Drosophila melanogaster: one gene and its partner. The gene in region 2 interacts genetically with the main gene of each other region. Each region holds a gene or a part of one and is shown on either strand. Other genes may lie near its edges.

Evidence for each region.
Region 1: of Listericin (region 2) and PGRP-LE, changing one suppresses a phenotype caused by changing the other (phenotypic suppression), as found in Drosophila melanogaster (one study listed by BioGRID).

What each region holds. Positions count from the first base shown.
Region 1 is NC_004354.4:15,800,653-15,805,796, forward strand, and holds PGRP-LE (peptidoglycan recognition protein LE), read right to left. Parts: upstream 3,229-5,144; 5' UTR 2,675-3,228; intron 2,439-2,674; 5' UTR 2,056-2,438; coding exon 1,857-2,055; intron 1,788-1,856; coding exon 1,488-1,787; intron 1,425-1,487; coding exon 1,311-1,424; intron 1,096-1,310; coding exon 1,031-1,095; intron 959-1,030; coding exon 599-958; 3' UTR 501-598; downstream 1-500. Other genes in the region: CG15602 (uncharacterized protein), read left to right, coding at 1-244. UniProt on the Drosophila melanogaster protein: Peptidoglycan-recognition protein that plays a key role in innate immunity by binding to murein peptidoglycans (PGN) of Gram-negative bacteria and activating the imd/Relish pathway. Has no activity against on Gram-positive bacteria.
Region 2 is NT_033778.4:11,241,224-11,243,828, forward strand, and holds Listericin (listericin), read right to left. Parts: upstream 972-2,605; 5' UTR 944-971; coding exon 578-943; 3' UTR 522-577; downstream 1-521.

The DNA of each region.
Region 1 (5,144 bases), on a different chromosome or scaffold from region 2:
GCGCTTACCAGAACCTTCCGAGAGTGAAATTAGTCCAATTAACACTGAGTCGCCCGGCAACACCGAAGAATTGCCCTGGTGCAATATTTGTAACGAAGACGCCGACTTCCGATGCCACGGATGTGGTGGGGAACTCTTTTGCACTCTATGCTATAAGGAGTGCCACGATGATGACGAGGAGTACCGTGCTCACGTTAAGGAAAAGTATTCGGCTCCGCCAAAGCTTAAAGAAAATCACTTCTAATTGTTAATTGTTTACTTGACTGTACGCAAATTTTTGTTTAATTATAGATTGTTTTCAGCAAATGCATTACTATTGTCTGTATTTATGTGGTGCTAGCTCGCTCATATTTGTGCAGTATAATTGTTGCTTCTCTTTCAGTTGTGAATTAAAACAGGTAGGCGATGTTGGTTCCGAAACATCTTGTGGTTTTTCCACCTTTCAGCGCTGCAAAAACTATACCAAAATATAAAGTAACTTAACGAAACTGCCAGTAGCTGGAAAATTTATAAACAGGTGATTTAATGTTCAACATTATAAACGTAACTCGGGTGCATTTAAGTCTAAGTATGTGAAATGGTGCTCTTCTTTTGTCCCTCATTGTTCCTCCTCCTCGATATTGTAAAAGTGGGGCCATGTCTGTATCTCCTCGTACAATCGCCGACCAGGACTCTCCGTCGAATTGCACTGGCAGTGACAAATTAATCTATAGTCGGTGGATATGTGACCATCCTCAACGCCGCGGGCCAACAGATTGCGGCACATATTCAAGGCGTCTGCCGTCGGGAGTTCTTTCATGAAGCATCCAATGAAACTGATCCCCAGCGAGATCCTGTTGTAACCCAGAGTGTGGGCGCCCACCGTTTTCCATCCGCGTCCCTCGTAGATGTTGCCATCGCAGCCGACCAGGAAGTTGTACGCAATGTCATTCCATCCCCGCGACTCAATGTGGAAGCACTGAAATATATATACATAATTATTATATAGTTCGGAGCATATATGATTTAATTTCGCTAACGAAATACTTACCTGCATGTCACGGATAAGTCTTACGTTGATCGCCCGCTTTTCTGAACTCTCTGTAGCTGTGTGTACTGCGTGGTAAAACAATATTTGTTAATCAAGGTTTTAAATATATTCGAAAAGAGTTATAATACGATATAATCTTAGGTTAGTGAGTGCTAAGCATGATGGTCAGATCAAATAGTATAAATTGTTTTAATTATTGCGTCATACTTTTACAGACAACTTGATTTATAATCAGTTGGCAAAAAAATGGTTAAAACGTGCAGCAAACTTGAATACTCACAGATAACCACATATTTAACAGGCAGTTGCAAGGGCAGTGGCTCGTCCATGGGCTTCTGTGCTAGCCACGAAGAGCGCGGAATGATGGCGGACAGCTCCTTGGGTATTTTGAATTCTGTAAGTGAAATCGGTATCCTATGGTTAACGTGTATGCATCCCCTGGTGAATGATAGCTTACTCTGGCGCCTGATGAACACATCCGAGCGCACCCTCTCCTCCGACTCGTCCTGATAGTCGTCTTCGAAATGTGTCGGAGTTTTGGGAGCGTTATCTCTCGGTGGTGAAACATGCCGCCGATCTCTTCGGTTTTGAGTAAGGCCATCGGCTATGATTTGTATATTTCCATTAATATTGGTAACATTGCCGATATGGACGTTCGTGGAGTTGCTTATATTAACGTTGCCCAAAGTCTGAATGCTGTTGATCGAGTTCATAAGGTCCCTTATGGTGTCGCTGATGATCGAATGCTTTTTGGTAGCTTTAAGGTGGGGATATATTGAAAGTGTTATAAATTGAATATAGAAACTTGATCTTGAGTACTACGCACCGATTTGAGTGCCTAGTGTCATAGTGCTGATTTCTTCACTGGTATTTTGGTCGGCATCCTCCTCTTCCTCGGTATAATCGTAGTCCAAGCTGTCCACAACCGAGGACTCTGCAATGGACTCCAGTTCCTCGTCCTCCTGACTAGCCAACCATTCGCGAGTCCGCTCCTGGCTCAACTTTTTGATTCCCGATTCGGACATGTCCGTAGTTTTGGCTTCTGTTTGCTGCCAATAAATGCGCGTGTATCTCTCGGCTGGCCCTTACTTTGTTTATCAATATTGTGAGTTAGAACTGCTCTATTCTCTGATTAGTGTTCGTGTCGTGTCCACCTTACACGATAAGATAAGGACGTTCCACAGGCTATCCACCATTATATGCGCAGGTGCCGTGGTGAAATGCTTTTTTGCATATCAGTCCACTTGGGGCTTTTTTTTTGCATATTTAGTCATGTGTATTAATTATTGTCATGGATATCGAGGATCAGTCTAGATATCGATAAGTATTATCGATGTTCGCATTTAGAACAATTCCACTGCCTTTGAAGGGAGCTTAGCGGTATCGTACATACAGTGGGCCGCATCCACTAGTTGAGTTTCAGATTTCGATAAGTATTTGATTAACCATATAAAGCTTACAAAAATTTAAATACGAACAAAAAAAAATAGTTTAAATTATCCCTCTTTAACCGTTTTGGACATATATTTCTGTATACATATATATATTGTTCTATGAAAATATATAAATATATATAAATAAATAAATAAGTAAATAAATATATATAAATAAATAAATATAATATATATAAATATATAAACATACAAATGCTTTGTCCAGATCCGAAAACCCCTTATCACTGGCTAAAATATAACCAGTTTGGTTCACCAATCAAATCGACTGGAGGTACAATGCACCCAGTGCTGGAAAAGATGAGCTTTCCAACACTCTTGCCTATATTGGGCTTTAATGCTAAGCAGTTAACTGCAACACTGCACCGTGTTTGATAATAAACCTGTAGAGGCAGGTGATTACACCCAAGTCAGCCCATCTTTAAGCATTAGTCATGGGGCTAGAGGTACTCAGATAAACCACCAAAACCTAATTCATGCGCTGTAAACATTCACTCGACCACTCTCGCGTATGCGCTGTTCTTCCCTCCAAGTCTCTCAATTACTTTCTTTATTTTTATATTTAGTTACTGCTGGCTATTCAAGCCAACCAAAGAGCTACCACAACACGGATTTAATAGTCACTTAGAGCCATTAAAAGAGAATAAACTAAAATGTAACCAACTTATAAACTAATTTTATACATTGCTTAAGCGATAGTTTGACGTATAAAACTGAGGAGCTTATATTTATTACTTTTGACTGCACAGTGGAATGCATTCAAAGGTCTGTTTATGTTTTTGTTCCGGTGTGACCGTATTCCGAACAGGAACACAGTCTAATTTAAAAGTTAAATTAAAAGCATATCAAAAAGTGAAATAAACTTTTTAAATATCTTCGCTAATTGGACAAACAGCTTAAATATATTGTAATCAACAGATAACCTAATCAAATATACCAAAATAGGCATTTTTTAGTGGAGTTCAAAAAAGGGCGGCAATCACCTTCAGCTGAATCAGCTGTCAAATAAAGTGAAGCTTTGGTATTAAAGCTTTTAACATAATTTAGGGGAAGAGAAAACATAAAAATGTATGAAAATGAAAGAGAAAAACGGATTCTCTTTATGTAAAATCTTAGAATTAACGCTCTCTTAGGTTCCACAATTGGTTCCGATTGGAACCGCGCACAAAGAGAGCGAGGAAGAGAGCGAGAGAGTTTCGAGTCGAATTGGAATGGCCAGAAAAATATATTTCTGCTTTCAGTTTCGAAAAATTTTTCGATGGAAGCAGCCGAGTGCGAATGCGAATGCTCAATGAGAAGAGCTTTTACTGTTTTACTTTTTGCCTGAAATACATTTTGAGATAATTTCTTATTGGTAGTTCTGTTTATGCCATCGCTTGCGTCTGTCTGTGTTATTTCGATTGCGAGAGCTAGTTAACATTAGTTAAAATTAAAACAAACGCCAGCCATAAGATATAATCGAATTGCGGTTTTTTCTTCTCGTACCGAATTTCCATCCACATCCGCATCCACCATCCGCCATCCGCCAAACCCATCCCGTTCCGTTTGTTCGTCGCTATCCGTCGGATATGTTGTTCTATCGGTGTACCGTACAAGTACAAGTTCGTACCCAGTCCAAAGCCAAACAGATTGCGCCGTGTGCCGGTAAAAATAAGCGCAAAGTTTGAGAAAAACCATCAACATCAGATGATGTGCCCTGGAGGAAAAAACGTCGCGGATTTAATGAAATCTTAAATAATGGGTTCGCTTTAGCACAATTCGACGTTGCATTCGGCCAGCGGTGTGTTGTGTAAACAAAGTTGTAGTTATAGTTTTAGTTTAATTAGCTTCGCATAAGCTGCAACCGGATCTGAAACAGACCGTGGAAACAAAAAAATAATAATAATAATAATAATAATAATAATTGCATTTCATGTATGCCAGTGTAAATTTGCGTTCGTGTGTGCTAAGTTTACATATAGAGAGCGTGGAGTGGATTGGGATTGGATAGTGTTGGATTGGATAGTATCCCTATCCGATTCGCGCCGTTATTGTTAATGCGCAGGTAATTCGGAGCGCTTTTCGGCCATTCTGCCCAATACCAATATTTTGTTCTACATCGTGTTTTTATTTTTATTTTTTTTCCAACATTTTTTTTGCTGTGCTGTGCAGTGCTGTATGCGTTTATTTGACAGCTTATGAATCACCCACAAAGATTTATTTGTGCTGATTGCAGCACAACTGTTGCACCCCATTCAAAAAAAAAACAAATAAATAAATTAATAATCACAAAAAACACCCGCACATCGTCTTCGGGAAAACTACTGAAGCGAGTTGGGCCAGCAAAAAAAAAAAAAATACGTATAAATACAAATAAACAAATAATACCCAAGCCATTGTTCCCCCTCCTTAACGATTATAATTACGTTGCTTTTTTTTTTGCAGTGCATTTATTAAGGAATCCGTCTGATATCAGAACAACCTTAACTAACGCCTTTAAATCAATGATATGGTGGCCAATTCCCATTCCGTCGAACAATCGAATCGAGCGACTAGATTCGGTAAACATCGACCAAGTGTAAACTCGACTCCCATTACCACTGTGTAAATACCAGAAAGTAAATCCAAAAAAAAGAACAATAATTCAACCTGCAGGGGAAACTAAAAACGCACGATACACTTAT
Region 2 (2,605 bases):
AAATGTTGTGCCAGGAACTTGGGGGTAATTTTCCATTAAGAAATCGATCGCAAGGCTGGTCGGGGGTGCATCAAAACAAAACCGCAAAAACCCTGTCTCAACCCCACATATCTGGAAATTAATCGAACTAGCTTTTTATTGACTTGGCAATTAGTGTGTTGTTCGAAAACAGGTTACATTATCCCAGTTTTGGCGATTCCTTTCAGTTGTGCAAGCATTTCGCAACAGTTATCATATCTAGCGATCAATGTTATAAACAAAAACCAACAAATTTATGGTCCAGATGTGCTATTTTTAATTAAATGGCTTAGAACTATCGGAATTTTAATCTTTGGAAGATTTTTCATTTGTGGAAAAAGTAGAATATCGATCGTGTTTGGATCGTATTCATTGATTAGCGTTTACGGACCGGTTCCATTTGATTACGTTGTATTTTTTGCGATTAAGTGCGTAAGCAAACCGACACGCCCTTTACACCGAAAGTCCCTCAATTGCCACCCAATGAAAAGTCCCATGTTTTTGTTTTCATTTTTTGACTTTTTTCTATTTTCGCCTCAATTACAGTGATTAACTATTTTTATTTACGTCCCCAACTGGAACTGGCTGAAGCTGACGCCGATGCTGATGCACTGCCGCCGCCAAATCCACCTCTGGGATATCCGCCAAAGCCGCCACCTGGATAGCCACCGCCACCGTAACCACCGCCACCGTAACCACCGCCACCGAAACCACCGCGCCGGAAGCCACCGCCTCCTCCACAGCAATATCCTCCGCGGCCAAAGCCGCCGCCAAAGTGACGAGCGGCCCTAACTCCAGTGCCATCATCGATTCCCGGCTGTGCTTCAGCATCTTCCAGCGTGATCTTTTGTTCCTCCAGAGGATGGCCGCTGATCATGGCCAGAATGGCCGCAAAGACGAGGGCAAGCACCAGGTACTGTTTCATATTGGACGATCAAACACTTTCTGCAATCGAAACACCCTGGGCTCCAACTTTTATATAAATAGGCAAATAACCCGGGGATGTCCCGTGTGAAGAGCAAGTGTTCTATAGCGCATTATATATGCTTTCCAAGTATCATTAGTTAAACCCGTAGGGCAATTATTATATGACGCCGATGATTTCACCAAAACTTGAGGTCAACGGAAATCCCAGACGTGTCGAAAACAAACCCCCCAATTCTTCCAGAAATTACAAAAAATTATAAAAATTAAAAACCGAGTAATAATAGTACATTTGTATTAAATTATATTTAGAGCTCAATCTTAATAAGGTAATAATATATTGATTTTTAAACTTAGTCGTCAGTTGGAAGTCTTCGAAAAAACAAAATTTTAAGTAATTATTTCACATTTTGGTAAAACTCAACATTCTTCATTAAAGAAGCTACTTCAAATTATTCATCGATATTCTTTTTCAATGACGTTGAATATTTGTAAGCAGCTAGAAATGTAAGATTTATTTTTCTCCGTGTATATCTTTACCATCACATTTTGAGACCAGCCCCCGGAATGGGGATTTACTTCTCCTACGGTTGAATGCAGACCAGTCAACACATTTTAAGTGATCAGTGACCCAAGATTGATTTTGCGCACTTTATTAACTGCATGTTACCAGAGGATTGGGTTTACTTTACTATCTAAATTTGTCGACCTGGGGAAGCACAGTAAATTCTCAGGCGTAAATATCTAAAGGTTCTGTGAGAATCTTAAACCCGTTTGGTGACCAGCATTCGAGTCAGTCCAAAAATAAGCGAACAACAATGATCTACAGATGAGCGGGAAAAACGAAATAAACGTAACAGTTTCTAACAAAACAAATCATATATCATCTTCATAGACTGGTTCGTGGCGTAAGAAACATACTTAAAAGGCACTCCTTCTTAAATTACAATATTTTATTACAGTCTAACTTGGCAATAAATATTGTAGTTAAAAGTTCCGGCTAGGCCGTGAAAAATTGACTTAGGGAGTGTGCTTTTCACCATTACTCTCAAGGTAATAATAAATTCCATAACTATTGCAGTACTTAAATTCATTCGTTGTAAGATGAATAGAGCCAGACTTGTATATGTTTAAAAACAAAAATAGGCGTTTACCCGGTAGCACTGAACCTTGGAAAACCAATATAGTTTAGTCTTAAATTATATTGTTTTAAACAATCGTCTTATGATTTGGACAATCATTTTCCTGCTTCAGACCATGAAAATTATATTACATGAATAAGTAAACACATAATATCAGCTCTACGATACCCATTGACTTGAATTCGTTAATATTTCATTATAAATCAAAGCTAAGTCATATATATACATGTATATATAAATATAATAGCACGCGTGGATTAAGTGCCTGATAAGATTGACTAACTGGCAGATGTCTAGCCACACTTAATTAAATTAAAAGGCAAAGATTTCCATGTCTGGCGAAACGCTGATCAATTAGTGCAAATATAATAATTCGAGACAATCCCAGAAGCACCTGGAAACAGAAAATGGGAAGACTCCGCTCTTATACACAGCGTATAAGATGATTCACCTGGCGAACGTCTATAGTGAAATGCATCTACTCAAGGGTGAATAGATTTCCAGCTCGCTAATTAACTTTA